Callithrix jacchus: one gene and its partners. The protein of the gene in region 3 interacts with the protein of the main gene of each other region in a biochemical or structural test. Links are inferred from orthologs where the notes say so. Each region holds a gene or a part of one and is shown on either strand. Other genes may lie near its edges. The genes, in order: RAB5C, RAB5A and RBSN.

What was found.
Region 1: the proteins of RBSN (region 3) and RAB5C form a complex in vitro, tested with the Homo sapiens proteins (2 studies listed by BioGRID and IntAct, with this or other methods). The link is inferred for Callithrix jacchus from reciprocal best matches to the Homo sapiens genes RBSN and RAB5C.
Region 2: the proteins of RBSN (region 3) and RAB5A form a complex in vitro, tested with the Homo sapiens proteins (3 studies listed by BioGRID, with this or other methods). The link is inferred for Callithrix jacchus from reciprocal best matches to the Homo sapiens genes RBSN and RAB5A.

What each region holds. Positions count from the first base shown.
Region 1 is NC_133506.1:121,571,995-121,582,370, forward strand, and holds the start of RAB5C (ras-related protein Rab-5C), read right to left. Parts: upstream 5,175-10,376; 5' UTR 5,074-5,174; intron 4,892-5,073; exon of another isoform or gene 4,432-4,891; intron 1-4,431. Other genes in the region: voltage-gated delayed rectifier potassium channel KCNH4, read right to left, coding at 9,873-9,897, 10,096-10,376. UniProt on the Homo sapiens protein: The small GTPases Rab are key regulators of intracellular membrane trafficking, from the formation of transport vesicles to their fusion with membranes.
Region 2 is NC_133518.1:58,458,237-58,468,571, reverse strand, and holds the start of RAB5A (ras-related protein Rab-5A), read right to left. Parts: upstream 6,272-10,335; 5' UTR 5,905-6,271; intron 2,592-5,904; 5' UTR 2,499-2,591; coding exon 2,336-2,498; intron 1-2,335. UniProt on the Homo sapiens protein: The small GTPases Rab are key regulators of intracellular membrane trafficking, from the formation of transport vesicles to their fusion with membranes.
Region 3 is NC_133516.1:72,081,957-72,092,522, forward strand, and holds the start of RBSN (rabenosyn-5), read right to left. Parts: upstream 5,053-10,566; 5' UTR 4,934-5,052; intron 4,880-4,933; exon of another isoform or gene 4,077-4,879; intron 1,999-4,076; 5' UTR 1,850-1,998; exon of another isoform or gene 1,833-1,849; intron 1,594-1,832; 5' UTR 1,422-1,593; coding exon 1,274-1,421; intron 1-1,273. UniProt on the Homo sapiens protein: Rab4/Rab5 effector protein acting in early endocytic membrane fusion and membrane trafficking of recycling endosomes. Required for endosome fusion either homotypically or with clathrin coated vesicles.

The DNA of each region.
Region 1 (10,376 bases), on a different chromosome or scaffold from region 3:
ATACAAAAAAAAAAAAATTAGCTGGGTGTGGTGGCGTGCACCTGCAGTTCCAGCTACTCAGGAGGGTGAGGCAGGGGAATTGCTTGAACCCGGGCGGGAGAGGATGCAGTGAGCTGAGATTGAGCCACTGCACTACAGCCTGGGCAACAGAGCAAGACTCCATTTAAAAAAAAAAACAAAAAACAAAAAAAAACACAGTGCTAGGATCACAGGCCTGATCCACCACAGCCCTGAATCCAGGCTGGTCTTGGACTCCTGGGATCAAGCGATCCTCTTGAAGTGCTGTGATTATGGGCATGAGACACTGCACCAGGCCCCAGCATATAATTGATACAAATGTTGAATCATAATCAGTGTCAAGGCTGGTCTCGATTACCTGGGTCAGGAGGTCTGACCAACATGGAGAAACCCCATCTCTACACAAAATACAAAAATTAGGGCCGGACACAGTGGCTCACACCTGTAATCCCAGCACTTTGGGAGGCCAAGGTGGACGGATCACCTGAAGTCCAGAGTTAGGAGACAATCCTGGCCAACATGGTGAAACCCCATCTCTACTAAAAATATAAAAATTAGCTGGGCGTGGTGGTATGCCCCTGTAGTCCCAGCTACTTGGGAAGCTGAGGCAGGAAAATCTCTTGAACCCAGGGGGCGGAGGATGCAGTGAGCCGAGATCCCACACTGCACTCTAGCCTGGTGACAGAGCTAGACTCCAACTCAAAAAAAAAAAAAAACCCATTAGCTAGGCATGGTGGCGAATGCCTGTAATCCCAGCTATTCAAGAGGCTGAGGCAGGAGAATTGCTTGAACCCAGGAGGTGGAGGTTGTAGTGGGCCGAGATCATACCATTGCACACCAGCCTGGGCGACAGAATGAGACTCTGTCTCAAAAATAAAATAAAATAAAATAAAATAAAGAAAGAATCTTGGCGTTGAATTATGATTTTATGATTTACCTTCAAACCCCTACCTACCCATCAGAGGCAAAAGCTATTTTCTAGTCTCTGCCAGCACTGGACTAGCTTCTTTCTTTGTTTCTAATTCTGCAAGGTATCTAGCATCCCCATTTTACCCACTGTTAAAAGATAAGGTCACATCTGACCTTAACAGGCCCACTGTTAAAAGATAAGGTCACATCTGACCCCAAATCCCAGCCCCAGCTCTACCACTTTCTAAATGCATGACCTTAGGCAAGCTACTTAAGTTCCTTTAGCATGTTCTCTAAAGCAGGAAGAAACATAGGCTCATTGAGGTCAAGTAACAAGCCCAAGGTCACACAACTGATAAGTGGGGGAGTCGGGATGAGAACTCAGGTCCAACTGCCTCCAAAGTTCTAGTGCCTTACACCCTACCACACTGCCTGTTTCCTGGGGAAGGGCAGGAAGTAAAAAAAAGTACTTGCCTGGTGGGCTGAATTTAAACGTATGCTCTTGGCTGGGCATAGTGGCTCATGTCTGTAATCCCAGCACTTTGGAAGGCCGAGGAGGGTAGATCACAAGGTCAGGAGTTTTGAGACCAACCTGGCCAACATGGAGAAAGCTCATCTCTACTAAAAATACAAAAATTAGACAGGTGTGGTGGCATGCACCTGTAATCCCAGCTACTTAGGAGGCTAAGACAGGAGAATTGCTTGAACCTGGGAGGTGGAGGTTGCAGTGAGCCAATCGTGCCACTGCCCTCCAGCCTGGGCAACAACAGCAAGACTCTGTCTCAAAAAATACAAAAACAAAAAATGTATAATCTTGCTCTGTTTCCATGTAAATTCTAATGACCAGAGCTCCTGGTGGCCAGCCACATTCTTCCCACTTGCAATCAGCAGGCAGTACCAGCAGGGAAACAGAGGACTAATCAGAGGCCTCCTCTGCTGGTTCCCCCTCAACCCTGCCCAGAGGGACCCCTGAGTTCACTCACTTTAACTTTCATTTTCTAGCCATTAAGACTTTCAGGTTCCCAAAAAATTAATGGCATGCAGATGTCAGCAAACTGTCTGGCCCTGAAAAGGACTGACTTGGGACTCCTGTCTTGGTCCTCAGAGGCAGAGAAGAAAGGGGTCAAGAGAGAAGACAGGAGTTTGGGTTGAGGTGGGGGAAGAAAATGAGAAGAGAGCTGTGCCAGTGATGAGGAGGGCTAAAGGATTAACAGTCTGCCCTCGTGGTGCAGCGCACTCACCCTGCATGTTCATTCATTTAGCAAACAAACCAGGCCAAAGAAGGCCCACTATTAAAAGATAAGGTCACATCTGACCCCAAATCCCAGCCCCAGCTCTACCACTTTCTAAATGTATGACCTTAAGCAAGCTACTTAAGTTCCTTTAGCATGTTCTCTAAAGCAGAAACACATACTTGCCTTATCTTACTCCAAAAAAGAAAAAAGTAACAAAAATTAAAAACAAGTGGGGAAACAAACCCCACTATTCCCAGGGTACCTGTGAGGAATATGTATGAAAATAACTTTGTAACTTTAAAATGATTTTTAAAAATTAGTGTTATTGCCCCTCTACAGTTTAACAGCCCACTAATCATGAGAGGCAAGAGGGCAGGAGAGGAACAGCATCAGAAAGGAGGGGTTTCTGTCACACACAGAGCCATAGCTTTCTGCCAAGCAGTCAGACCTCTGCTTGGACTATAATTTCTGGATGCCAGAAGCAGCTGCATTCTCTCCCAAAGCACTGGGGCCTTCCTCGTCTGTCTAAATGGCCGAGCTTCCCCTTCAAAAGTCATTTCAGGCCGGGTGCAGTGGCTCACACCTGTCATCCCGGGACTTTGGGAGGCTGAGGCGAGTGGATCACCTGAGGTCAGGAATTCGAGACCAGCCTGGCGAATATGGCGAAACCCCATCTCTACTAAAAATACAAAAATTAGCCTGGCGTGGTGGCACGCTCCTGTAGTCCCAGCTACTTGGGAGGCTCAGGCAGGAGAAGCCCTTGAACTCAGGAGGTGGAGGTTGCAGTGAGCAGAGATCATGCCACCACGCTCCAGCCTCGGTGACAGAGCAAGACTCCATCTCAAAAGAAAAACAAACCAAAAAAAATTGTTTCAGAGTCAGAGCTGGAAGAGCATGTCCAGACAAAGGAAAAAAGGTCTCCTCAGAAGGCTGGTCAGTCTCATCCCAGGACTCCTGAAGACTGACAAACCATGGTCCACTCCTGAAGACGTAAGTCTGGTCAGAGACCAATGGCCAGTGAGCAGTCAGGCCTCTCTGACCCTGCCCCTCAGATGCCCAGGCTGCCCAGATCAGAAAAACTAGATTGGCTGAAGAAGTCTCCAATGAGCCCCCAAGGAACCCACACAGATAAAGAGCTTGTGATCCAGCTGTTGACCCTAATAAGGAAGGCTTCTGTTGTCCAATAAAAAGTGAAATAAGTAGGCTGGGTGCGGTGGCTCACACCTGTACTCCCAGCACTTTTGGAGGCCAAGGCAGGCGGATCATGAGGTCAGGAGTTCAAGACCAGTCTGGCCAACATGGTGAAACCCTGTCTCTACTAAAAATACAAAGTTAGCCGGTATGATGGCATGCGCCTGTAATCCCAGCTACTCGGGAGGCTGAGGCAGAGATTTGCTTAAACCTGGGAAGTGGAGGTTGCAGTGAGCTGAGATGGGGCCAATGCACTCCAGCAGGGGGGAAGTGGGGGCGCTGGGGGAAGGTGAAATAAGTCCTAGGTCTACTCACAAGACTGGAGAAATCAGACACTAGTGACTGTCCAGAAGTACTCAAAAACACCTCAATACCAAAAAACAGCACTTTTAAGCAGCACGAGAGGGTGGTAAAGGTAGCTCAGAAAACTGAAGAGCTACAGACATTCCCACTATCTATCCCACTTGCTATCTACATATCCACTGTAGATAGCAAGGGTCAGTCACGGCCTCAGAGACAGGCTACTCCTCATTAAGGTACAGTCTCGGGCCTGTACTTTGGCCACATAACAAAGCTTGGTCAGAGACAGCAGCTATTTCACACACCTAAGCCCCAAGCAACAGTCCATACGGTTGAGGGAACCAGCATTTTCTGGCATGTGTGGGAATTCTTCAGGCTACAATTCAGACCCCAGAACTGCCAGTGGGATCTTGACTTAGTCCTCAGTAATAAGTCCAAGCCCAGAAGGGATTAGATACCAGCGCGGTGTGGACCTGTTGCTCAGGGTGGTTTATGTGTGTGTGTCTGGAAGTGGGAAAGAGATAATTCTTCAACTCCAGACTCCTCATTTTGGGTCTTATTCTCCTGCCTATAGACACACGGACAGCAGTCCCGGGAGAAGCAGTCCCTTTGAGGAGGCTTGAAAACTACTCACGTGCTCTGGGAGGACAGAGCTGAGCCTGGAGCAAGGGGGGAGGGGAGAGAAGATAATGAATGGGCATATCCACCCTGATCTGTGATCTGTAGCTAGGATTGAGCAAACCTCAGCTAAATTCTTCAGGGGCAGAAAGAGAGAGACACTCAGAGAACAACATAACTAGAGAATAGGGCAGGGAGACAGAAGGGGCAAAGCAAGAAAACATCTCATTCCTACTAAATGACCCAGACTTTTAACTGAGGTCCTGGTTGGTTTTCTGGCTTGAGGAAAGAGGGAAGTAAGGAGTTGTGGAAGCGCAAATACACTTCTGTGCGTGTGGAACGGTCTCACCCAGACGACCCCCTCCCCCATAGGAAATCGACATATTCCTCTAGGGCTGGAGGGGACAACTGGTTTCGTGGGACAGGAGGAAGGAAAACGGCGACAGACAGCACTCCCTGTCACTTCTAAAAGACAAGAAGGACAGGTTCCTTCACACCTGGCAAAGATCCTTCGATTCTGGGAGCAAGGCGAGCGGAACTTAGGGTTCCTCTCTCCCACAACTGGAATGGACAGGCCAGAGAACAGTCATAGGAGTTTCCTTAAGGCTCACGAAAGGCAGGTAAGCTAAAGAAAGAAGCTCCCCCGCTCCTTTGGCCCGACGCCTGGGGAACCCCTTAGGAGGAGGCTACGGGTCGGGGGAGGGGTCATTATCCCCCTAAACGGGCTGGGTGGTGAGTAAGGGCTGCCCTGGAGATGCTTCAACGCAGGCGAGACACCAGGTTCGGGGACAGGCATACTCACGGCGGCTCCGGGACGGCAGCGTTACTTGGGGCCGGGACTCGGACAGGCTTCGCTTCTCTCCCCCCCCCCCGGCGGTGTCCCAGGCTCCGGCCTCCACTTCCGCCTTTCAGCCGCTCCGGATCCGGATCTCCACCTCCGTCCCGCCCCTCAATACTACCCAGGTGATTGACAGGGTAGAGGGACTAATGGAAGGCACTCTTGGCCGACCTATCCAGCGGCTCCGGTAGAAACGCGGGAGTGGTTGGAGGGCGCGCGCGAAGGATGGCGGGACTTGTAGTTCGCAGCGCTGGGAGGAGTTGGCGGCTGCCTGGGATTTGGGCTTAGGGTGGAGCCGGCTGACTGCGAGGCGGAGCCCGGCCGGGAATTATTATTTTTTTGTGAGGAGTCTCAGTCTGTCTCCCAGGCTGGAATGCAGTGGCGCGATCTCGGCTCACTGCAACCTCCGCCTCCCGGGTTCAAGCGATTCTCCTGCCTCAGCCTCCCGAGTAGCTGGGATTAAAGTCATGCACCACCACGCTCGGCTAATTTTGTATGTTTTGTAGAGACGGGGTTTCACCATCTTGGCCAGACTGGTCTTGAACTCCCAACCTCGGGTGATCCGCCTTCTTCGGCCTCCCAAAGTGCTGAGATTACAGGCCAGAGCCACCGTGCCCGGCCTACGGCCGGGAACTTTTTAAGGCCAAGCCTGCCACCCGCGTCACCGCCGGTTCCGGACGCCCGAGGGAAGGCGAGTGGCGGAGAGTTGGAAGAAGGCAGAGGACTGTGTGTGCAGAATTGGAAAAGGAAAAACATGGTGCGAATGAATATGCACGCGAGGCTGCGTGGACCAGTCCTGTGAACTCGCTGATCTGGAGCAGCCCCTGTCTGCGCTTTCCGGCCAAGTCAGCTTGGGAAGCCCGATTGCTGGGGGCCTCTGTGATGGGGAAGGCGATGAAAGCGATGAAAGGCTGTAGGAAAGGTTCTCTGCAGGATGCTGAGTGAGATCAAAGGGAGAGCTTCTGCCACCACCCCCTACTTGGTGTGTCGGGGGGGGGGCCGGCGCAAAGACCATCTCCGCCTCTGCCTTCCCCTGCTCCCAGCCAGGGTCAGCTCTTCTCTCTGACGCGGAATGTAGAGCTGGATAACCTCTGGCTCGGACCTCTCCATCTGAAAATAAAGACTAGAACCACCCCCACTCTGCCCCTCCCCATATGGATCAGGACTATTTGTTTCTTCTGCTCCTCTGAATATGGATCCGGCCAGCTCCTGATTCCGCCCACCCTTACCTCTCAACACAGACTAGTACCTCCTCTTCCTTTGCATGTTACCCTCCAGGGACACTACTGAAAACCTGTGTAGAATCAAAGCTCACTGGAGACAGCTGTGACCATTGTGCCTCTAGTACTGGCCAACACCGGGCATATCCTGGAGCCTCAGCTGGAGAATCGACCTCTCTGGGACAACCTGCCACAAAACTGTGCCCACATCTAGTTCCATCTGGTCAGCAGGGTGTCTCTTTCTTACATCCATAACACACAATCCCCACTCCAGTGCAGGTGATCATGAGAGAAGTGAAAGGGAAGAGGGAAGAGGGCTTGTTGGCTTGTTGGAAGGACAGAGTGGATGGGGCGGAGTGGGATTCCTAGCAGGCTTTGGCTGCTGACAGGCTAGCTCTTCCCCCCAGCCCCGCTTCCATACCCAGCTCTGCAACAGTTCCTTACACAGGAGGGATGGGTAGTCCCCTGGGCCCACCCTTCCAAGGCTGGGGGTGGGCCTGAGCCAGGATTCTGTTCTTCCCACATACTGTGTGTTTATGTGGCTATGACTGAGGTGCAGGGGAGAAGGGAATATAACAGGCCCATAGTGATTAATTAAGATTTCTCCCTCATTTCTGGGGCCCCTGGTGGTGTGAATGTGGTGCCAAATAGATTGGCTGGTGCCTCCATCCTTCCTAGAGATAGCAACGGGGCCCTGGGGTACAGCGGGGGGTGAGGGGGGTAGGGGTGGGGAGTGATTGCTATGTTGCTCCTCCAAAGCCTTGGGACTCTCAGACTAACCCCCAGATATACCCAGAGCCAATAACTACAAAAATAAAGACTTTATTTTCTATCCAAAAGTGAGCCCAAGATGTTGGGTGGTAGAGAAGAGCTGGAGACCTGGGTGAGTTTTGGAGCCATCCAGGCCTTGCATGAAACCATGTTGTCATGGGGGAGAACAGGCTTGGCAGAGGTCTGGGGGTCGGGGAGGGATAGGGCGTGCTGTAGGGATTTTTGAGTTGCTAGTAGCAGAAGAGACCAGCCTGAGAGACAGCCTGCAGAGAGACAGAAACAGAGATGTTGCCAGACTCATGCCTAGGAGTAGAAGCAGACACTACTGGGCCCCAAAAGCACCTGTTAGGCACAGGGACCTGGGAACAGGCTCTTATGTAAGGAGGCGGGGGTTGCACCTCCACCCGTGGGCTCCACCTGGATATTCCAAATTGGGTGAGGCCCAGGAATCTACTTTTTATTTAGTTATTTATTTTTGGGCCACCATCCTGGCAGAATCTACATTTTAATGGGATCTCAGGTAGTTCTGATGGACACTCAAGTTTTGGGAACTCAAATACCTACAGAGAGCAGACAAAAGTTTCAAACGAGGGAATCTAGCCGGGTGTCGGGAGATGATCATGAAACCCTTGACCGCAAGTGGTGACTGCGAAGTAGGGCGCAGAGCAGATTCCATTAAGGAGGACAGTGGCCACCTCTTCGCCCCTGCTGATTTCAATTATTGCCAGATGGAATGTTGGCCCATGGTAGCCAGATGTCCTGGGTTTTTTGTTTTTGAGACAGAGTATCACTATCACCCAGGCTGGAATGCAGTGGTGTGATCAATGCTCGCTGCAGCCTCAACCTCCTGGGCTCAAGTGATCCTCCCACCTCAGCCTCCGGAGTAGCTGGGACCACAGACACACACCACTACACCTGGCTAATTTTTTATTTTTATAGAGTTGGGGCATGGCGGAGGTCGGGGGGGTCTTGCTATGTTGCCCAGGCTGGGTTCAAGTCATTCTCCCACTTCAGCTTCTGAAGTAGCTGGAACCACAGGCATGCACCACTACACCTGGCTAATTTTTAAAAAAAAATTTTTTTTCTCTCTCTTTTTTTTTCTTTTTTTTTTTTTTTGAGATGGAGTTTCACTATTGTTACCCAGACTAGAGTGCAATGGCACAATCTTGGCTCGCCGCAACATCCGCCTCCTGGGTTCAAGCAATTCTCCTGCCTCAGCCTCCCAAGTAGCTGGGACTACAGGCACGCACCACCACGCCCAGCTAATTTTTGTATCTTTAGTAGAGACGGGGCTTCACCATGTTGACCAGGATGGTCTCGATCTCTTGACCTTGTGATCCACCCACCTTGGCCTCCCAAAATGCTGGGATTATAGGTGTGAGCCACCGCACCCGGCCCTCTCTCTTTTTTTTAAAATAAAGATGGGGTTTCACCATCTTGGCCAGGGTGGTCTTGAACTCCTGACCTTGTGATCCACCCGCTTCAGCCTCCCAAAGTGCTGGGAGTGAGCCACCACGTCTGGCAAAAAAGTTTTTTTGTTTTTTTTTTAGATGAAGTTTTGCTCCTGTTGCCCAGGCTGGAGTGCAATGGCACAATCTCGATTCACCACAACCTCCACCTCCCGAGTTCAAGCGATTCTCCTGCCTCATCCTCCCAAGTAGCTTGGATTACAGGCATGTGCCACCATGCCCAGCTAATTTTGTATTTTCAGTAGAGATGGGGTTTCTCCATGTTGGTCAGGCTGGTCTCGAACTCCTGACCTCAGGTGATCAGCCTGCCTTGGCCTCCCAAAGTGCTGGGATTACAGGCGTGAGCCACCATGCCCGGCCCAAAAAATATTTTTATAGAGACGGGGTCTCACTATGTTGCCCAAGCAGCTCTCGAACTCATGGGCTCAATCGATTCTCCCACCTCTCCCACCCAAAGTGCTGGCATTACAGGGATAAGCGACTATGTCCAGTGCTACATTTTTTAGAGAAACTGGAATATCTGGATTCCTATATAACCTCTCTCTCTTTTTTTTTCTTTTTCTTTTTTTGAGATGGAGTCTTGCTCTGTCATCCAGGCTGGAGTACAGTGGTGCAATCTATGTAACCCCTGCCTCCTGGGTTCAAGTGATTCTCCTGCCTCAGCCTCGAGAGTAGCTGGAACTATAGGCGTGCGCCACCATGCCTGGCTAATTTTTTTTTTTTTTTGAAATGGAGTTTTGCTCTTGTTGCCCTGGCTGGAGTGCAATGGAGCGATCTCAGCTCACCACAACCTCTGCCTCCCAGGTTCAAGTGGTTCTCCTGCCTCAGCCTCCTGAGTGGCTGGGATTATAGGCATGCACCACCACACCTGGCTAACTCTGTATTTTTAATAGAGATGGGGTTTCCCCATGTTGGTCAAGCTGGTCTTGAACTCCCAACCTCAGGTGATCCACCCGCCTCGGCCTCCCAAAGTGTTGGGATTACGGGTGAGAGCCACCGCACCCGGGCAGTAACATTGCTCTTAGGGTCTTCAGCAGAGACCCAGGGGCTGAGACAGAAGACCCCACAATATCACTAAGCTATCTCCAGGCTAAATCCTGCAACCTGTCTCACTTGCTATGATCCTGCCTGGTCTTGCCTTCATGTCCTAGGCTGGAGATGGGTCCCTTGCCCGTCCCCTCTGCTCCCCATCTCTACCTGCCTCCAGGTCCTGGGGAGAAAGTAGGATCTCATCTGCCCAGTCCAATGGGCACTGCAGTTCGTCTCATGCCTGCTGGGTTCCATGACCATCAGGTGGCTCCCCTCACAGAGGGGGAGGCTGGGGAAGGCTTTGAAAAGGGAATAGCATCAGAGGTAACCAGGCTTGGTTAATAAGTCCAGAAATCCAGAGCCAACCATGCCAGCTGGTGGCTGCTGACCCCTAAGGCAGGAGGCCAAGGGGCCCAGGTCCTCCCAGAATGGTGAGCAGCAGCGCCCACCCCTGACAGGCCTGGGCCCTGGGCCAGGGTCAGTGGAACGTGTCTGACCTGGACTGGAAACTATGCCTCATGAGGCTTGGGGTTGAGGGTGAGGCCTCTGGCATTGGAGAGGGTCCCAGAGGGTCAGGTTCTGCGGGGTAGGGAAGCAATATGGAAGGTCTCGAGTCCAGGGGTGCAGTTCCTGTCTCCATGGTCCCCATACTGGCTGGGGGGTGAACTTCAGCACGCGTAGTATCCTGGAGGCTGGGTGGTGATCTGGACGCACAAGGAGAGAGGCAAGGTGGCCTCAGATGTGGACAAGGAGGTTCTGGGGTCCAAGCAGGGCCTGC
Region 2 (10,335 bases), on a different chromosome or scaffold from region 3:
TAAAAATACAAAAATTAGCCAGGAGTGGGGGCGCACGCCTGTAGTCCCAGCTACTTGGGGGCTGAGGCACAAGAACTGCTTGAATTTGAGAAATGGAGGTTGTAGTGAGCCAAGCCTGCACCACTGCACTCCAGCCTGGGCAACAGAGACCCTGTCTCAAAAAAAAAAGGATTAATAGAAATTTGGATGCAAATTCCCCTTTGTTTTTAAATAGGAAGCTTTATACATAGAAATTAAAATCTACGAAAAATTCATTAATGAAATCTAGACACTCTAATTGGTGTTAAATGGAGATTATACATAGATACACACATACCAGAGATATTATTTATGATACACTGGATATGGGGTTGTACTTTTACTTTAAACATCCTTCTTGAGCTATCATTAAAATAAAATAAACTTAGAAGTGGACTATCCAAAACAAGATAAAATTTCCAGTCTTAAGTTCTTGCAAAGCTCTGCAGAAATTAAGTTCTATACTACAGTACTTCAGAGTTTTTATTATATTACTAAAATGTTTTTTTAGTAAATATTAGTAAAACAATATTTTAGTAAAATAATATTTAACATTTTACTAAAACTTTTAACAAAAAATAATTTTTTGTCTTACTAAAAAAAAAAAAAATCACATATGGATGTGCCTTCAGAAAAAAAAAAAAAAAAAACCACAAAGGGTATCTAATATATCACGTATTAACATTTTTTAAAATGCCAAGACTTCTGACTCGAAATAAAAGCTCCATGATGCTTTCTGATACTCAGTCATTAGAAAAAAACAAAACATTCTAATACAACATTGTAACAAGACACACAAAGGCCAGGAGGTAGTAGAGTTCTGTAAATTATCTTACTAGAATGGGTCTAAGTTTATGAATAACATTCTCAAATGTATTTGCCTAAGAGCACTCACTAAATGCACAGTATAAAATTTTGCTTCTTAAAGATTCTAAGAAGTTGCCACATGCCAGTTGGTATCTACCAGTCTCATGTACTTCAAAAGTGTGACTTTAATTTTGCAATATGGGGTTAAAATATATACATAAATACCTTGGAAAACAGCATTGTTTATATATATATATATATATATGCAAAATACTGTGAATCTCAAACTGTGTAGTTCTTCCCACACATCATCTTATTGAAAAGCATCATTTCACAGACAAAACAGAGGCACAAAAGAGGCTATCTTGTCCCAGTGTTAAATAATTACAGGTTTCTTTAATCAAAGTTAATGTATTTTTTTAAGAGATGTGGGTCTCATTATGTTGCCCAGGCTAGACTTGAACTCCTAGGCTAAAATAATCCTGGGACTACAGGCATGCAGCACCATGCCGAGCTAAAATTCAATTTTCGCACTTCACGTCTTCTCTTGACAATACTGTACTGTTTGTTGTCCCCTTTTTGCCCTGCATCTTACCTTCCCCTCATCTCTGTCCCGCCATAACCACCTTGTGCAGTGCCTACTCTTTCCCTTCTTTCATCTTTTTCTCCACGTTCCATTTTCCTGTCATGTCCCTTTCCGATAATCGCTTTTTCTCTTCCCTCAGCTTAGGAGCATTCTTACATGTACGTCTTAGCAGGGAGCACCTGTAACCAGAGTTACCTGGGAGGTTGAGGCTGGAGGCTCACTTGAGGCCAGGAGTTCAAGACCAACCTGGAAACACAGCAATACTCTGACTCTTTAAAAAAAACGAAACAAAACAAAAAACTTTCCTGGCAGGATGGCATGCACTTGTAGGCCCAACTACTTGGGAGGCTAAGGCAGGAAGATCATCTGAGCCCAGAGTTCCAGGCTGCAGTCTGCAGTGAGGTATGATCCTGACACTGCACTCCAGTCTACACAACAGCAAGATCCCATCTTTCAAATAACAAAAAAAGTACATCTAACAGTATTTAAATAATTTGACAAGTATAAATTATTCAAATAGTTCAGTTATATAGATCAGAATTTAAGGTTACCTTTTTTACTATTCATTTCAAGCCAACATAATTGAGCACAAATATGTACTGTATTAATTTGAAGAAGCTTCTAGTTATCAGCAAGAAATAGATACCAGATCAAATCTTATAACTTGAAACACTAATTCTACTCATGTTTTTAACTATATTTTAGCTACAATATAACCACATGGAATTAACCAAACAATCAAATGTAAAAAGACATCGTTTCAACAAAGATAAAGGCAAGTTTTAAAGCTTAAGGTCAGCTGAATAACTCTTTTCTTCACTCTGTGACTTATTTAGCTATTCATAATCACACAATTGGAACATCAAAATATTTTCTGTCAAGGTATGATTTGATGAAATGAAGCAGGGAAAAAAAATATCTCACCTCCAATGGTACTCTCTTGAAATTCATGAAACTGGCCTTTCACAAAACGAAGCACTAGGCTTGATTTGCCAACAGCAGACTCTCCCAGAAGTACTAGTTTGAACTGGCATATTTTATTTCCAGTATTTGGCCCGTTGGGTCTTGTTGCACCTCGATTAGCCATGTCCAAATTTGAAATAAATCCCTAATTTCAGACTCTTCAATGAAGTTCCAGAATTCAAGGCGTCAATCTTCTTCTTTCTGGAGGTAAAGAAACCTGCAAAGAAACAATTATGAAGTAAATGTACAAATCAGTAAAGCAAATTTACTATTAATCACTTTAAATTTTGCCTATAGCATATTATGATTATTTTAAGCTCTACTAGACCTTCAACATCCTTTAGAATAGGTCACTATCTTTTACAGGAAATTTAAAGGTATAGGATTTGAGCTCAAAATCACTTTTTTTTTTTTTTAAGGCTAACCTCTCAAAGCTTCAACTTTGTGCCAGGCAGTACTTTAAGTACTTAACTTCTCAACAATCCTATAAAATGAGATATTATTACAATCCTTATAAATGAGGAAGCAAGCCCAGAGATGTGAAAAAGCTTACTTGAGGTCACAGAGTTACTGTGACAGAAGTGACACAGAGCTGAGTTTCAAATCCAGGGAACCTGAGAGATGACTCAAGAGTTCAAGTTCTAGAGCCAGGCTACTTGGGTTAACATTTTTTTTGAGAAAAATTATGTTATTAATAACTGAGAAGCTTTTAGAGCAGATCCAAGAATTTATTATTACTTAAAGTCTTCTGTTAAACAATGTTTAATGGTAATTTCGACAACAAATATTTTCAGTCACCTGGGTTTGTGTGCCTAATGGCGGAAAGACTTAAAACTGTTTCCTCATCTGCTCAAGTATACCACACATAGAAATGTTAACAGTTGTTTTCTGTGTGGTGGGATTATTACTCATTTATTTACTTACACTAACTAACTTTTTTGTAGTTTTTGGATGAACAATATGCATGCCATTTTTTATAAACTTTAATTTTTTTGAGAAAGGATTTTGCTCTCTCACCCAGACTGGAGTGCACTGCAACCTCAACCTCCTGGGCTCAAGCACTCCTCTTGCCTCAACCTCCTGAGTAACTGGGACTACAGGGCACTCAAAACCATGCTGGGCTCATTTGTCAGTACAGACATTGCCCTGCTATGTTGCCCAGGATGATCTAGAACTCCCAGGCTCAAGCAATCCTCCTGCCTCAGCCTCCCAAAGTGCTGGGATTACAGGTGTGAGTCACCATGGCCAGCCTGCAGGCCATTATTTTTTTTTTTAAACAACACAGTAAAAAAAACTAGCCTGAATGGTGACTTCTATGTGTTACCATTATCTAATAATGCTAACTTTTAATCTCTAAGGAATTAGTGAATATTTGAAGAACTTTTTTCAATCAACTCACAAACCAATGTTCACAGTTTCCTTCTATCTTTAACCAAAATCCAAATATATGCTAATATATCAAACCTGATGATTCCTTCTCTAAAAACCCTGCTATATTTCATTTAGCTACCTCATACAAGAAATATGTCTTTTGCACCAGAGACAGGGGCTTACACCAGTAATCCCCACACTTTGGGGTGAGATAGGAGGATTGCTTGAGACCAGCCTGGGCAACATAGTGGGATCTTGTCTCTATATTAAAAACAAAAAATGAAAGAAATATGCCTTCCTCATAAATTGAGTTTATAAAAAACACTCTTCATAATGAACTAACATATCCATGAGATGTTCTTAAGGCAATAAAATTGCCTCCCTGCCTTAACTAAACACCAGCTTTTTAGAGTCCTTATCTTTTACCATTACATACTGAAATATTTAAAGACAGAATATCTGAGTTGCTTCCAAATAACAAGGTATAAATAAAAATGCCCCCTCCCCCACAAACACTAGATTTGGGGGTCTAATCCTGGCGACACCAATTTCCGCCTGGGCAAACTCTTTAATTTCCAAGTCTCTATTCCCATAATATCTAACTTGCATAGCTGCTGTGAGAATTAAATGAAACAACACATGTAAATAATCTCTAATACACACAGTAGGGACTGAAATTGCCTATAATGTGGTCCTTTGATAAGAAAATGATAAAATACCAATAGAACATCATATATTCTGAAAATGTACCAACACATCTTCAGATATTATACACTAAGTATCAACTGAAACATTTTCCATTTATCCTTTTAACTACTAAATAAGAAATTATTTATCAGGGACAGTATGCTCCAAATTTCTAAGGTACTTCCAAAATTTCAGGGACAGCAGACTCCCACTCTCTCACTAAAAAAAAAGAAATCAAAATCAAACAAGATTCTGATTTCACTTTGACTTTTAAGGTTCAAAGCTACTCAATTGTGGTTACTCCCCCGACCCCCAGCCCCCCATTCCCACCCAGGGATCTCAAACAAGAAATAACTTAATAGTAAACATACACTTAGCCTAACACTAAGGTTAAAAATTAAGTGCATTCATTTGTGTTCACTTCTTACTGAAACTCGTTTTGCAAAACAAGAATCTTGCAAAATATACATTTATAATCTTTTAAAAATAACTGTTATTCATTCTATAGTTAAAATCCTTCTACGGGTTGTTTGATCAAAAAATTTACTAATTTGTGCCGGGCACTGTTCCGTGTACTTTGCTTACACAAATGCTGAGTTATCACTTCCATTTTACTATAGGAATAAAGTTTATGAGCAATCCTCAGTATTCCCAGAGGTGCAACTGTTTTGTCTCATTATGTGTAAGGCAACAACTGATTGAACGCCTTGATTCCACTAAAGCGATACAAAAATTAAATATGCGAACTATGACGTTCTGAACTCAAAAGTTTGGAAGTCTCAGAAGGTAAAGCAGCTTCCAGGGAAGACATCAGAGCAACTTTCAAGGTCTCTACACAGTGAAGGAGTTCAGCGGTCCTGTTATCTTGAATCTCTTTAGAGCCGTAATACACTACCTTCCACATATATAAGAGGCGAGTCTCTAGACAGGCTGTTTTGACAAGGCCCCCACCCCCTCCACCACCGGTGTTTGGAAGTTGAGAGTAGGCGGAGCTCCCCACATTCACACCTGCAGTAGGCCCGGGTTCCTGCTAGGAGAGCACTTGAGTAGCTAATAGCCAACTCCAGCTCTCCTGGATAAGCAGCACTCGCCAGGTCCCTTGGCCTTTCCAACCTCCTCCCCCGAACCTAGCCGGCTTTGACCGAGACCCCCAGAACTGCCAGGACAGGGAACAGGCGGAACCGCGGCCTCCAGTACACTTTCCACGGCGCCATCTTGAGAAGGGAAAGGGTGACACCCGTCGCTCCCTCAGTCAGTCCCCAAATCCCGGTCTCCAGAGCCCCTTGAGGATGAGTCACCAGGGCTGGCAGAACAAGACGCTGAGTTCGGAAGTTCTCTGGCCCAGGACACTGGTGCGCGTGAGGGAAAAGGGGCGGGGGTCTCAGTGCCGGCAGGGCCGCGGACAGGCTGGGGACCGCGGATAACGTGGGGTCCATGCCCCCGCTGCGCAGGGGGAGGGGCGGTTCGGTTACCTGAGACAGCAGCAAGCGGAGCTGCGGGGCCGAAGCTTCCTGGCAGCAAGGCCCAGGCGTGGCCCGTGGGACGAGTGTGTCTATGGCGGTGGTGGTGGTGGCGGTGGTGTGTGCTCTTCGCGCCGCTCCCCTCACACTGGACTGTGCGGGGCTCCTGCTGTGGTGCCGCCCCTGTCGGGCTCCGTCTCCGCCTCTCGCCGCTCCGCCTTCCTCTTTCCTTTCTCCTCCTCCTCCGCCGCCGCCGCCGGCGCTCGAGTTCCGACTAATTCTGCCTCCTCCTCCCTCTGCCTCCTCCCCTCAGGCCAGCCGCCGGCTCCTTCACGAACCAAAACACAAACACTCAGGTCCCACCGCTGGAGCCACTTCCGCTGCCCGGTGTCGGCCCCACCGCCACGTCGCCGCACGCAACGAACTACGCCCCTTCGTCACTTCCCGTCACTGCCAGTCCGCCCTCTCCAGCCGTTTCCCCGCCCCTTCCCGAATCCCTCCCCGCCCTGGTTTGTTCGCGGGGCGGGGCGAGGCAGAATGTCACGTGACCCTGCGAGAGGCTCTGAGCCGCTCTGGCCGCCTTTCTTCCCTTCCCCCACCGCAGATGCGCGGGGCACGCCCTCTCCAGCGCCACTGTTAGCTGGGCGAGGGTCTCTGGGCTGCAGGCTGCTGGGGGCGGGGAAAATTCCTTTACTCTCCTTTGGGAGAAGACCAAAAGAACTTGTGTTTTGTTTTTTTTTCTGTGCCCAGCCCTTGTGGGAGCAGAGAGGTTCCCTCACCCCAATCTGGCACCTTTGCGAAGGGGCTTTATTAGAGGGCACTTAGACGTCTTAACTCCACAGAACCTCTTCCCTCAAAACGTCCCTGGGGTTGGGTGGGTCGATAAAGACTGGTAAATCGCACTTACCCTAAGGAGGAAGAGAGGGCCCTCTCTATCCCAAAAGTCGCCTTTAGGCGCGTAACAATAAGTCGCTTCCACTGAGAGTTTACCTGGTTTTGGTAGGGGGCGGGTAGGGTCAAATCCTAAAATAGTATCTAGCTTTTTTACTGCACTAAATGCTTTACAGGAATTATCCCGTTGAATTCTTACACTAGGAGTCTTTCATTCTGAAAATAACTTGTTAACGCCTGTTCCCTACATTCGAATTTTAATTCACCTTAGTGGTCCTCACCGCTGTAAACCTGTATCTAGCCCAGTGCCTGGCAGCCAAGTCTTCAGTCCCAGCGATGGATGTTTTACAGGTAAAGAATTTGAGGCAGAAGATGTTAATTTGTCCGAGATCACTGCTGGGTGGTGCCGAAGCTGAATTCTAATCTGCGGGTTGGCTCCAGAATGTGAGTTGCTGAACACAATTCTGGTGAAAGATAACCCAAGACCTTCGTTCCCCTACACGGGGGACCTACTGAAGATGTGCTTTTGTTGGACCCCACCCCACAATCAGTCTCTGGCGAGGCTTCTGCCCCAGCCCCTGCCAAAAAAATTGTTTTGGTAATTTGGTTGAAGAATATTCCATTGATCTTTCCCTTGGAATAAAGGCTACTTTTCAGTTTGCAGTTTACAATGTATAGCTCTGTTGTGAGGGCGAGAATATTGTCTTTGAAGCGCACCAGGTTAAGGTATCCTGTGGGTGCGCAGTCGGCATTGTGCCATGAAGATGATTTGAACTTTGAACAGCCAGTCTTTCATAGTAACTACCCAAGTGCCAGAAGAACGTAGTGTGTCATACGTAAATTGTACCTGTGGCGTTTTATCTACAAGGAGTTCCAATATGAACTGTTAGTCATGGTAATAGCTCTTGGACAATCCCAAGAGGAACCAGGAAATAGGATATGTCTCATCAGTCATGTCAGCAGCATGCGAAAACCAAACCTATTCCACTCCAAACCTGCTTCTGCTTAGAGACTGGCATTAACATCCTCCCAGTCACCCAGACTTGGAAAGGCAGAATCATCTTCAGCTCTTCCTTCTCCTCACAAACCGTTGTCCATTCCATCAACAAATTATATAATCCCCAAATTTGAGGTCTAATCCCAACACCTCGTCCACGGTAGTGTTTCTATAAATAAACTGGAATTAATGCATACTGCTGCTCTTTCTGTCCATTCTTTACACTTTAGCCAGTCACTCTACTAAAAAATGTTCAGTGGTATCTCATTACTTGCCACTCTAAAGTTCTTTTAACTCTAGTCCCAACCCATGTTTCTTTCGTTCCATTTCTATAGAATCCCTCTCACCAAACTATTTGTCCCCTAACCACACGTATCTACTCTGTGTTCCCTGAATATTGCCTATGTGTTGCCATCTTGGTATCTGATCACTTTATTCCCTACACTTAGAACACCATTATTGCCCATAACTGCTGTTTCCATCTCAGCCAGGATACCAGTTACTCTGGACAGTATCTGCAGATACTTCTACTGGATTCAATTATTTTTTTTTCTATAATTTCACAATACTTTGCCTTAGTCTCTATAATAACTGTCTTAAAATCGGCCTTATTTTAATAGTTAATGAGCACCTGAACTTTTCTCCTTAGCCTTTCATTGCATTATAAGGTTTTTAAGGGTTGGGACTATCACTTATTCATCATTTCAGCTCTTCACAGAAGACCTTTGATTGCTATAGTAGAGACCCCCAAAGTATTGGTGAACTTAATTATGTTTAGAATGGTGAACATTAGACTAAGAAGACCTCACAACTAAAACATTCGATGCTGAAATTTATAAATTGCCAAAAAAAACCCTCCCTATTTCATCGTTTCAGTATGTTGCTTCCTCACTCGTTTCTGTTTGATTTTGTCTTCACCTCCTTCATGAATATATCTCACAATATTTTACAGTTTAGTCATAATGTTTGCCTGGAAGAGTGCTGCCCCGGTGGCTGGCACTTCTAAAGATCCGGTAGTAATTTTAGAGAAATTGAAATGCCATGGTAAAGCTCTGTTGTACTGCCACTTGCAATATGTCTGTGTTTTCTTTTTCATAACCCCAGATAAATGAGGAGGACTGATAATTGTATATATTTTAGTGTCAAATGTAGAATCCTATCAGTTGATAGAATTTGTTAAGGAAGCTACAAAATGGATAAATAATCATAAAGACTTAAACATTAGTGCTTATACTGCCCTCAAATCTCTAAATACTCAATCACAAATTCCCAGTGGCAGGTGTCTCCCAACCATTCACAGCACCCCATATCCTTTTCCATCTCTTCCAGGAAATCTGTCCTCCCTTATGTAGCTGAAGAATGAATCTTTGAATAGATGATAATGAATGGTTTCATTTACTTTTAATTGGAACTATCTGGAGACAATTCAAAATTTTTTCTGGAGACAAACCAACGGTAACTCTAACATTGGCATGGTAACAAGTTAGTGAAAAAGGCTGTGAAGCTTGAGCTAGTCATGTTTGAAAAGCTTGTGCCTTTGGAGAACATCATTCAGGCTTTAGCTCAATGTCACCTACCTACAGGACTTCTAAGTCCACTAATTCTAAAGTGCTTTCTTAAACATAAAAGCAGACTGTTGTCTTCATGTCTTCTATATCTTAACAAATAACACTTAACACTATTTGATAAGATATGCGTTCCACTTGATGGTTATCTATCCCTACTAGAATATAAGCTCCATGAGATAGGGATTGGGTTATATAGTCAGTCCATCTGCTGGTGACTGGTTCTTGGATACTACCCTATTCCCCCACCATGTGGGTATCAAAATTTGCAGATACTCAAGTCTCACATAAAATGGCGTAGTATTTACATGTAGGCTATTCTGTATGCTTTACATCATCTTCAGATTACTTACAATACCTAATGCAATGTAAATGATAGGTAAATAGTTGTGTTTTTTTCAATTTGTATTATTTTATATTGCTTTTTTTTTTTTTTTTTTTGAGATGGAGTTTCACTCTTGTTGCCCAGGTTAGAGTGCAATGGCACAATCTCACCTCACCTCAACCTCTGCCTCCCAGGTTCAAGCAATTCTCCTCCCTCAGCCCCCCCACCCCCAAGTAGCTGGGATTACAGACACGTGCCATCATGTCTGGCTAATTTTATATTTTTTAGTAGAGATGGGATTTCTCCTTGCTGGTCAGGCTGGTCTCAAATTCCCGACCTCAGGTGATCTGCCCGCCTTGGCTTTCCAAAGTGCTGGGATTACAGGTGTGAGTCACCATGACCGACTGCCTTTTTTTTTTTTTTTTTTTTTTTAACTCAAATGCTTTCTACAGAATACAGAGGGCCAACTGTATTCCGTTGTATTCCCAACACTGACACAAAATGGGGAGGGACTCAATACCTTTTTGTAGAACGAATGAATGAATTGAATGAGCCCTTATACAAAGTTGCCTTGATTTACACACTGCAAAGTCATTTAAAGAATTTATGGCCAGGCACGGTGGTGCGTGCCTTTAGTCCCAGCTACTTGGGAGGCTGAGGCTGGA
Region 3 (10,566 bases):
TTCTCCTGCCTCAGCCTCCCAAATAGCTGGGATTACAGGTGTGTACCATCAGGCCCAGCTAATTTTTTGTATTTGTAGTAGAAACCGGATTTCACCATGTTAGCCAAGCTTGTCTTGAACTCCTGACCTCAGGTGATCTGCCCTGAGGGACATAATAAACAGAAAGACTCTGGGATCACAGGCGTGAGCCACTGCACCTGGTCCGGAACTGTTTAATTTCATGGCCTTCAGAAATGCTGCCAGCTGTGAGAAGCAAATTAGCTGAATAACCACGAAAGTAAGTTCCAGAGGAGCAACAGCTTTGTTGTGTGTGTCTGAGACAGGATCTCTCTCTATCCCTCTCTCTGTTGCCCAGGCAAAAGTGCAGTGACACAATCACCACTCACTACAGCCTTGACCTCCTTGGGCTCAAGCAATCCTCCTACCTCAGTCTCCTGAGTAACTGGGACTACAGGCACACACCTCCATGCCCAGCTAGTTTTTTAAAAATTCTTTTGAGAATGGGTTTTGTCATGTTGCCCAGGCTGGTCTTGAACTCCTGAGCTCAAGTGATCCGCCCACCTTGGCCTCCCAAAGTGCTGGGAATAGAGGCGTGAGCCACTGTGCCCAGCAAGAGGAGCAGCATCTTATTTGGAGGTTAGAATTTCAAGTCCAGGAAATACAATAAATGTATGTATAGTCAAAAGTACCTTTGAAGAATTCTTTCCACAACTCGCTCAGATCTGAGCTCTTGGAAGCTCAAAAACCAAAGTTTTCAGATTGTTTCTCTTTGTTCTTCAACTATGACCTTCCTTTTTCTGGGGTATAGAGGGCAAGATACCAATTGGGGAAGAAAGGATGGTGGGAAGGCCTAAATCTGTGACAGGTAAAATGGGTGTATAATGTGCCTCCACCATCATAGCAAAGGAAAGAAATTCCTCTTCAAACCCTGTTAGGCTGGTGGTCAGAGAACTGTCAAGCCAGATCACAGTGATTACATTTACTAGATTCAAAGACAGACTGTGTTTCACTGAGTGGCTTTAGACATGTTATCTAATCTCTCTGTGTGCCCTCATCAGCAAAATGTGGCTCACAGCCACAAAGTTATTGTGAGGACTAAATGAAATTAATAAACAGGGAGATTCTGAAAATGCCTGGCACATGACAAACACCAGTCATCTGTTTGCTACTACTATTATCATATTCCTGTGGCAACGCCGAAGCTGATAAGAACTATCCCATGAGTTAAAGCTCTCACTGACAGCAGGGGATAGGCAAGCTCCTCGCTTCTTACTTTTAATTTGCCCTTTGACATCACGGTCTTCCCCTGAGTGCTCTTCCTCGTAATGTGAATGAAGCTGATAGAAAGACTGCAGATCCTTCAGGCACAGAGGGCAGAGAAAGCCCTCCCTCACTTCCCCTGGGTCATCCAGAGAAGCCATGGCAGTACCCCTCTCAACCCTAAGAAAGCAGGGATCTCATGCCAAGAATCAGCTTGATTCCTTCCAAGGAACCATGGTTCCTGCAGCATTAGCTTAATCAAGTAGTATACGGATGGTGAGGAAGTAGCTTCATGGTCCTGGATGAGGTTCCCTCTCTGGAATAGGAGGAGCCCTAAGAAAGGAAAGAAGAAGGAAAAAAGCCAATTCAGGCAAACTGGTAGCAACTGAGAATTTTCTTCATTCTTTTCACAGTACAACAGTGCAAGTTTGTTTGTTCAGTGCAAGTTTGAGAAAACAAACTCTCAAATCCTTAGCCCAACCAAGCTGCAAAACCTAAGATGTAAAAACATCACTGGACAACAACAACTCAGTAAAGTTAGGAAGCACAGATTCTTGAAAAAAAGCAAATACCTTGACAATTCTCTTACATTCATTCCAAATGATTCAACTTCAAAATTTGTATGCCACTTTAGCCACTGGGGGAGTGTCTGAAGTACTTAGAAGTTTTTACTTGACGCTCTTTACCTTGATTGTTTACTTGACCACATATGGTAAGTTCTTAACACCTGTAAGGCACCTGTGTTAGAAATGCAAAGATGAAAAAGATATAGTATCTGCCATAAAAAAATACAAAAAAACAAAAATCCTAACACCAGTTAAAGAGAAAAATTAGAAATCTACTAGTCAAAAAGAAAAAATATATTTTATATTTATAGAGCACTTATCTCCAATGGGCTTACTAGATTTTTTTTTAAGAGACAGCATCTTGCTCTGTCATCTGGTGAGCTATAACTGCTCACTACAGCTTCAACTTTCTGGGTTCAAGTGGTCCTCCTGCCTCAGCCTCCCAAGTAGCTGGGACTACAGGAGTATGCCACCACACCCAGCTAATTTTTAAACTTTTTATAGAGACAGGGTCTTGCTGTTTCCCAGGTGGATCTCTAACTCCTGGCCTCAAGCGATCCTCCTGCCTGAGCCTCCCAAACTGCTGAGATTACAGATGTGAGCCACTGCACCAATAGATCTTAAAAGCCAGTAAGTGACAACTGAGTAGCAAACCTAATGTTTCTCCACTACTTCAAAAATAAAAGGCTGGCCAGGCACAGGGGCTCACACCTGTAATCCCAGCACTTTGGGAGGCCGAGGCAGGCAGATCAACTGAGGTCAGGAGCTCAAGATCAGCCTGGCCAATATGACGAAAACCCATCTCTACTAAAAATACAAAAATTAGCCAGGTATGGTGGCAGGTGTCTGTAATCCCAGCTTGCTGGGAGGCTGAGGCAGGAGAATCACTTGAACCCAGGAGGCAGAGTTGCTGTGGGCTGAGATCACGCCATTACACTCTAGCCTGGGCAACAAGAACGAAATTCCGTCTCTAAATAAATAAATAATAAATAAATAAAAGGCTTTGGTGCCTAAACATTTCAGGGCTTAATAAGCTGCATTCTCTTTCTTACTGACCCATGGTAAAGTCACTTCCAGTGTCACCTCATAAAGACTCCCAGTCACAGGAGAAATCTAGACAAAACCATTTCACAAAAGTGGAGAAATTTCTCCCCAAGAACCTGGGGCTACAAGCCACAGTATATAGTGAGAGGGGATGTGTTACCCTTAGCTTTGGATGGACTGTAGAAGACCACCGAGGAGGGACTGCCTGGTCCTCAAAGCTGAAGGGTGGCAGCAACTCAGAAAATAAACAAATGAAACACCAGGTCCCTATTTTTTCCCTCTAGTTAAGAAACCCAGTGACTACATACATGCAGATCCCTGCCTTTTTTCCAAAGAAATATAGCAGCTCTAGGTCTGGCCTGTTCCCTCCCCAGCCAGTGGTTCATCTGATGCTGACTCTGACAGCTCGCTTCCTACCCATACACTCACCTCTAACAACCACAAATCAAACACAAAGCCCACCACAACCATGCTACACAATCACCCTTCACGCCTCAGCCCAAAACCAAACTTCACTTCCTCAAAGAAATGCCTCTTATTCAAGGCATCAGAATGGACTTCTCCTTCACAGCACTCATCTCAATTTATAACTGTAGGTACATATGTGAAGTAACTAAGTAAGACTGTAAAATCTGTGAGGGCGGGCACAGACTCTATATGTTTTCCCCTTTGCTGTCTCCCCAGAGTTTAGCGCAGTACCTGGCACACATAATGAAGAAACGCAATAAAGCTCCATGAATGAAATGAACAAATGAATGAACTCTAAACTCATCTAAGCATACGCCATAAAGAAATCTAATATAGGCCGGTCGCGGTGGCTCACGCCTGTAATCCCAGCACCATGAGAGGCCGAGGCGGGTGGATCATGAGGTCAAAAGATCGAGACCATCCTGGTCAACATGGTGAAACCCCGTCTCTACTAAAAATACAAAAAATTAGCTGGGCACGGTTACGCGTGCCTGTAATCCCAGCTACTCAGGAGGCTGAGGCAGGAGAATTGCCTGAACCCAGGAGGCGGAGGTTGCGGTGAGCCGAGATCGCGCCATTGCACTCCAGCCTGGGTAACAAGAGCGAAACTCCGTCTCAGAAAAAAAAAAAATTAATATAAACCGCTGAATCGGACTCCACAACCATAACTGAACACATATGCAAGCCCCTCGACTCTAAATCATGTAAAAAGTAAAAAAACACACACGCAATACTTACATGTTCTGCAACTACATCCACCATGAATTTCGCCCACAACGAGGACACATCCCACAGCCGCACTCAACCCGTGTTCACGACTGCACATGATCACAACCCACACAACTAACACGATTTTTTTTTTTTTTTTTTTTTGAGATGTTGTTTCGCTCTTGCTGCTCAGGCTGGAGTGCAATGTCGAGATCTCGACTCACCGCACCACAACCTCCGCCTCTCGGGTTCAAGTGATTCTCCTGCCTCAGCCTCCCGAGTAGCTGGGATTACAGGTGCTCACCACCACGCCCGGCTAATTTTGCATTTTTAGTAGAGATGGGGTTTCTCCATGTTGGCCAGGCTGGTCTCGAACTCCCGACCTCAGATGATGGGCCCACCTCAGCCTCCCAAAGTGCTGGGATTACAGGCGTGAGCCACTGCGCCCAGCCACTAGCACGAATATACATACGTCGCATGACCATACACAAGACGAACGACTCAACCCCGTGGAGCAGAGATGACAACGTCACACATCGCACAGACATCACACAAAACGCTCCAAACATCTCCATACGAATTCAGAATACAAACGCTTCAGCTTTACACAACCAGAGAACCAAACACAGCCACTCGGAAGACAAACACCCACTCACTTCCCCCACAGCTGCAGAACCAAACCCAAGTGTATACGCCCCACGTAACCGCACAACCACACAGAGCCCAATCACCTCAGTCACACACAAGCGAAACGCACGGCCTGAAACCGGCATCTCCCACCACTCACGTCACACCCACCACAACCACACACGGCCCACACCCACAAAGGACCCCCCGTCTCCGTTCTGTAGAGAAGCCGTGTCCCCATCCCTCAGACTGGGCCTGACCCTCTGTACCCGGCCGGCCTCCTGCAGGCACGCAGGCCTGTCCAGTCCTTTGGGCCCGGGTTCTGGGCCTCCACGGCTCCTCACACAGCTGCAGACGCCATCTCCATCGGTAGCTCGGCACTCGGCAGGCGCGCCTGCGGCGGCGAATCAACCGTAAGGCGCGCTGATAGACAGACGCCTGTCGAGCGCCGAGTCTTCGAGGGCGCGAAAAGGACGGATACAGATTCGACTAGCGAAGGGCAGGCCGGCGGCTTCTGCGCAGGCGCTTTCCGAACGAGGGCGGGGACGGGGGTGGAGAGGAGGTGGGGATCGGTAATTTTGTGCGGTTCTTATGTCTCAGATTCGAACAAGGAGGGCATCAAAGCCAGCCACTGGCTCTGCACTCCATTGTACAGCTGGGAGAGCTGAGGCCAACAGATCTTTGGCTCTTGACCAGTGTGCTCAAAGAATAAGGCAGCCAAGGAGTCGAAGTTCCTGAAGGCTAGAGACAGAAAAAATATTCAGGGGACGTGGAGCGACGCAAACTCCAGGAATAGAAACACATGAGTGAGAGTGGAGACTTGGTATAAGAAGGTGTATCTCGGGGGTGTACAGCATGGCCAATCCTGTGGAAAAGATGGCATTTTCAAAAGGCAGGACGACTGATCAGCCAGGACCTACTCTGCGCCTACACTGTGCTGGGTACCATAGGGTATAGAGAGGCAGAACCTCATCCGAGTCCCGGAGACCTATTTGCTTTGTGCTCTGCAAACGTTCTGGACCTTAGCAATGGCCAGGCTCCAGAAGCAAGAGCTGCAGAGAACGATGGGACGATCCTGGGCCTCCGTTTACATCCCTGCAGTGTTACTGACCCCCTTTTACAGGAGTAAAATTGGGATGATAATGATAGTCTCTGCCTCATAGGGCTGTGAAGATTAAGTGAGATAATTGGATGGTAGGGAGGTGTCCTGCAAACTGGTTTTGCCCATCTCACTTTCCCTGCCTTCAAAGAGTACTCCCCACCTGGTCTCTGGACAGGAGCACTGTGCCTCCATCACCTTGCATTTAAGGGCATGGGGCTCCAGACTTGGAGAACACTGAGTTTTTGGAAAGCAATCACCAGTGAAAGGGCAGTGAACTAGGGATCTAGAGACCTAGGTTCTAGCCGTGGCTGTACCTTACTTTGTGGCTTTCAGCAGGTCGTTTCCCCTCTCTTGGCCTGGGTTCACCCATTTGTACAGAAGAAACTGATGCCAGTGACTTAAAAGCCTTTTCTCTCAATCTGATGGCCAAATTTTTTTTAACGTTACAATGTCAGCAGGAGTGAATAATGACTTCCCTTTGTTTGCTGATACAGACAAGGAAGAGGCTTCCCAACCTGTCAGAAGCAAACCAATAGGCCCAGCTTCCCGTCTCCGTCGCTAGCCTCTGCCTTAAGTCCCAAAAGCCAGGACTTGGGGAGTAAAACCAACCTCTTGAATGACTGAGGCCACGGAGGTCCCAATCAAGCACTTTGGGTGGCTGAGGCAGGCAGATCATTTGAGGCCAGGAGTTTGAGAACAGCCTAGCCAACATGGTGAAACCTCTTTTCTACCAAAAACATAAAAAATTAGCCTGGTGTAGTGTTGCATGCCTGTACTCCAAGCCACGCAGGAGGTTGAGGTAAGAGAATCGCTTGAACCCAGGAGGTGGAGGTTGCAGTGAGCCAAGATGGTGCCACTGCACGCCAGCTTGAGGGACAAAGCAAGTCTGCCTCAAAAAAGAAAAGAAAAGAAAAAAACATCATATTCATCATTTCATTTGCTCAAAAAAGCAATGGCAATGTGGCCTCACTTTGTAAGTTAATTTTGGAGATCACAATGGATTGAACACTGCTCTCAATATTGTTAATGATAATGACAAAGACCTCCCTATATGCTTCACACTTCATCAAAAGTACTTTCTTTAATCTTTTAGGCAACTCTATTACTATTTCCATTTTGATAATAATAATTAATATTTACTGAGTGATTTGCACATGCCAAACACTGTTCTATGTGCTTTACATATCTTAACTCATTTAATTATCATGCAACCCAATGATGTACAAAATGTAATATTATTCCCAATTTATAGAAGGGAAACTGAGGCACAGAGAGGTTAGGTGACTTCTCCAAGGTCACCAGCTGGTAAGCCTTGAACCCAGAGTAATCTTGCCTTGAGGCTTTCGCAATCCCCACTTTTCCTTCCTCTGTGAAGTGCTGATAGACTTCCTGCAACTCTCAGCCTCCTCCAGGCACCACTCCTGTACTGGGCATAGAGAGGTGTAAGCCAGTTAGTTGAAGACAGGGAAGTGTGTACGTGCACACGGATGCTCTGGTGTCAGAGGAGAGACCAGCAGAGTCCCATGCAGGAATGCAGGAAAGGGTTCCCAGAAGCGGGCAGCACGTGAGCGTGGACCTCAGGTAGAAACGATGGGGAAGACCTTCCAGGCCAGGGGAACCGCACATGCAAACGCATAGTTATGGAGAAAAGCAGGAGTCCTTTGAGAAACTCAGAAAAAAGTTCATTCACACATAGAGGGATAATATCAGGCCACTCCTCCTCGATGCCAAAACTGTAGGCGGCTACTACTTTTTTTTTTGAGACCGAGTTTCGCTCTTGTTACCCAGGCTGGAGTGCAATGGCGCGATCTCCGCTCACCGCAACCTCCGCCTCCTGGGTTCAGGTAATTCTCCTGCCTCAGCCTCCTGAGTAGCTGGGATTACAGGCACGGGCCACCACGCCCAGCTAATTTTTTGTATCTTTAGTAGAGACGGGGTTTCACCAGGTTGACCAGGATGGTCTCGATCTCTTTACCTCGTGATCCACCCGCCTCGGCCTCCCAAAGTCCTGGGATTACAGGCTTGAGCCACCACGCCCAGCCATAGGCGGCTGCTTCTATTGAGAGAACCTCAGATGGCTGGGTCTCTTCACCCTTGCCCTCTACCTTAGGGTTCTCTGTCTCTTTCTATCCTTTTGTCCTTCTCTCTATCTCACTCTTTCACTTTCTCTTGGCCCCTTATTTGTCTTAAGTTTATCTCAAGCAGCACAAGACATGTTGGCATCACATTAAAATCAAGAAAATAAATTATGATATTGGTAACATAGCCATCACTGGGGAAGATATAGGCACATCATATAACTTCCTGAAGGGCCAGCTGCCCTCCAGGCTGGCCTGGCCCCAGCTCCCAGGCCTCTGCCAGCTACTGTGGTCTGAGCCAGCAGGTTGAGGGAGTTGGCACACCCATCTGCTGGCACAGGGAAACAAGGGTGATGCCAGCCTGGCAGAGCCTTGCCTTGAGGAACGGGGCAAGGGCATGGTGGGCTGGGAGAAGCAGGTGGCAGTTGCCGTGGTCCTCTCAGGAAAAAAACAGGGAATGAGGAAAGAAGAAAGGGAAGAGAAAATGAGGGGAGGAAGGAAGAGGAAGAGGGAGGGAAAGAATGACAATAAAAAAGCAAAGATGGAGCAAAGCATCGTGGTTACCAGCACAGACTCCAGGCCTTGAATCCCAGCCCTGCCACCTGTGGCCACGTGAACCCTGGGCGAGTCACTTAAATTATCTGAGCGTCAGTGTCCTCATCTGTAAAATGAAATAATTATAGTACCTGCCTCTTAGGTTGGAGGGTTGAATAGGTTAATATTTGGAAAGTGTTAGAACAGCACCTGGCACAGGAGAAGGACTATGTAAATGTTTGTTAAATAAAAAAAAAGGAAGAGCAGTGTGATTCAGATGCCTTGGCTGTTGTGTCGTGCTGAGTCAGACAATAGCATAGGAAGTGTGAGATCCAATCTGGTGTCATAGAAATAGCTTTGAGAGTCATGGCCTTGCCAGATGGGATGTCTATGAAAAGAACTCAGATTCATTAAATCCAATAGTAGGTGGGGGAACAGCCTCAACAAACCTGAAAAGTAGGAAACATGGAATTGACTTGGGGGATGTGAGCTGGAAAGCCAACCAATTTTCAGGTAGTGGGTTAGCACCTTCTTTGACAAAGCAGGACCACTCCCAGCCCATCCAGGCCTGTGATAAATGGGAAAGAGGCACCACTCCCTTCTCACTAATGGACAAAACCCTTTGCTGGAACTGAAGCCCTGCATTTGGCAAGTGGGGCACAGAATGGATTTCAGCATCCACTTACTCCACCCCCACCCCACTCCCAACTGCGCTGCACACAAACTGCATGGTGGCTCTAAGGGCAGGGAAGAGGAAAATCAAGGTCACAGCATGGTCCTCAGATCATGAGAAAAAGTCACACTGGTTGTCTGCAGCTTCAGATCTCATTCCCTGACATACATCTCCGGAGATATGCACCTTCAACCAGTTGAGAAGTTAACCTCAATTTTAACCCAGATTTGAAATGACCTGTGTGTATATCGTATTTTAAGTATTTGAGGTATTTAAGAAAGTTTGGCATGTTAGAGCATCTGACACATTTGTCTTGTGACTCCAGTTTAAAATCTGTAACTCAGCAAATGACTTAGGCTTGTGATTTTTAAGTTTATTCAACAAACTATGTATGTATTAAGCACCTACCTACATGAGTGCCTGAGATAAACAAAACAAACATTGATCCCTCAGGGAGTTGACATTCTCATGGAGAGACACAGATCCTAAACAATTCATATACTAAATAAGTATATTATATAGCGCATTAGAAAGTGGTAAGTGCTATAGAAAAAAATAGAGTAAAGGGAACAAGGAGTGCCAGGTTGCGGGACTTATAGGGTGGTCAGCATAGGCCTCATTGAGAAGGCAACATTTGAGCAAAGACTTGAAGAAAGTGAGCCATGTGGATCCCTTGGGGAAGAGTATTCCAGGCAGAGGGAACAGCCAGTGCAAAGTCCTCAGGTGGAAGTGGGCAGGGCAGGTTGAAGAAAAAGAAATGAGTCTAACACCCATGTTCATAGCAATATTATTCACAATAGCCAAAAGATGGAGACACCTCAAATGCCCATCAACGTATGGACAGAATACTCAAGAGTCAGCATGTCATTTTTTTGTTTTTTTTTTTTTGTTTTAGAGACAGGGTCTCACTCTGTCACTTAGACTGGAGTGCAGTGGTGCAATCATCCCACCTTAGCCTCCTGAATAGCTCGGACCACCGGCATGCACCACCATATCTAGCTAATGAAGAAAAAGTTTTAGAGGTGGGGTCTTGCTATGTCACCAGCTCAGAATGTAGTTGAAAGGGAGTTTATTCAAGTGCAAAGGTTGAGGACTGCACCCTGGGACTGCACACTTCCAAATTACCTTGGCAAGTGCTCCAGGGAACAAACAAGAGACTCAAGTTTTTAATGAGAGAAAGGGTGAGGCTGGGCACAGTGGATCCTGCCTGTAATCCCAACTACTTGCTAGGCTGAGGCAGAAGGATTGCTTGAGGCCAGGAGCATGAGACCAGCCTGGGCAACATCATGAGATCCCATTTCTAAATAATAATAATAAAGTTAAAAAATTAGCTGGGGCCAGGTGTGGTGGTTCATGCCTATAATCCCAGCACTTTGGGAGGTGGGTGGATTGCTTGAGGTCAGGAGTTTGAAACCAACCTGGCCAACGTGGTGAAACCCTGTCTCTGCTAAGATACAAAAATTAGCTGGGCATGGTGGCTCATACTTGTAATCCCAGCTACTGAGG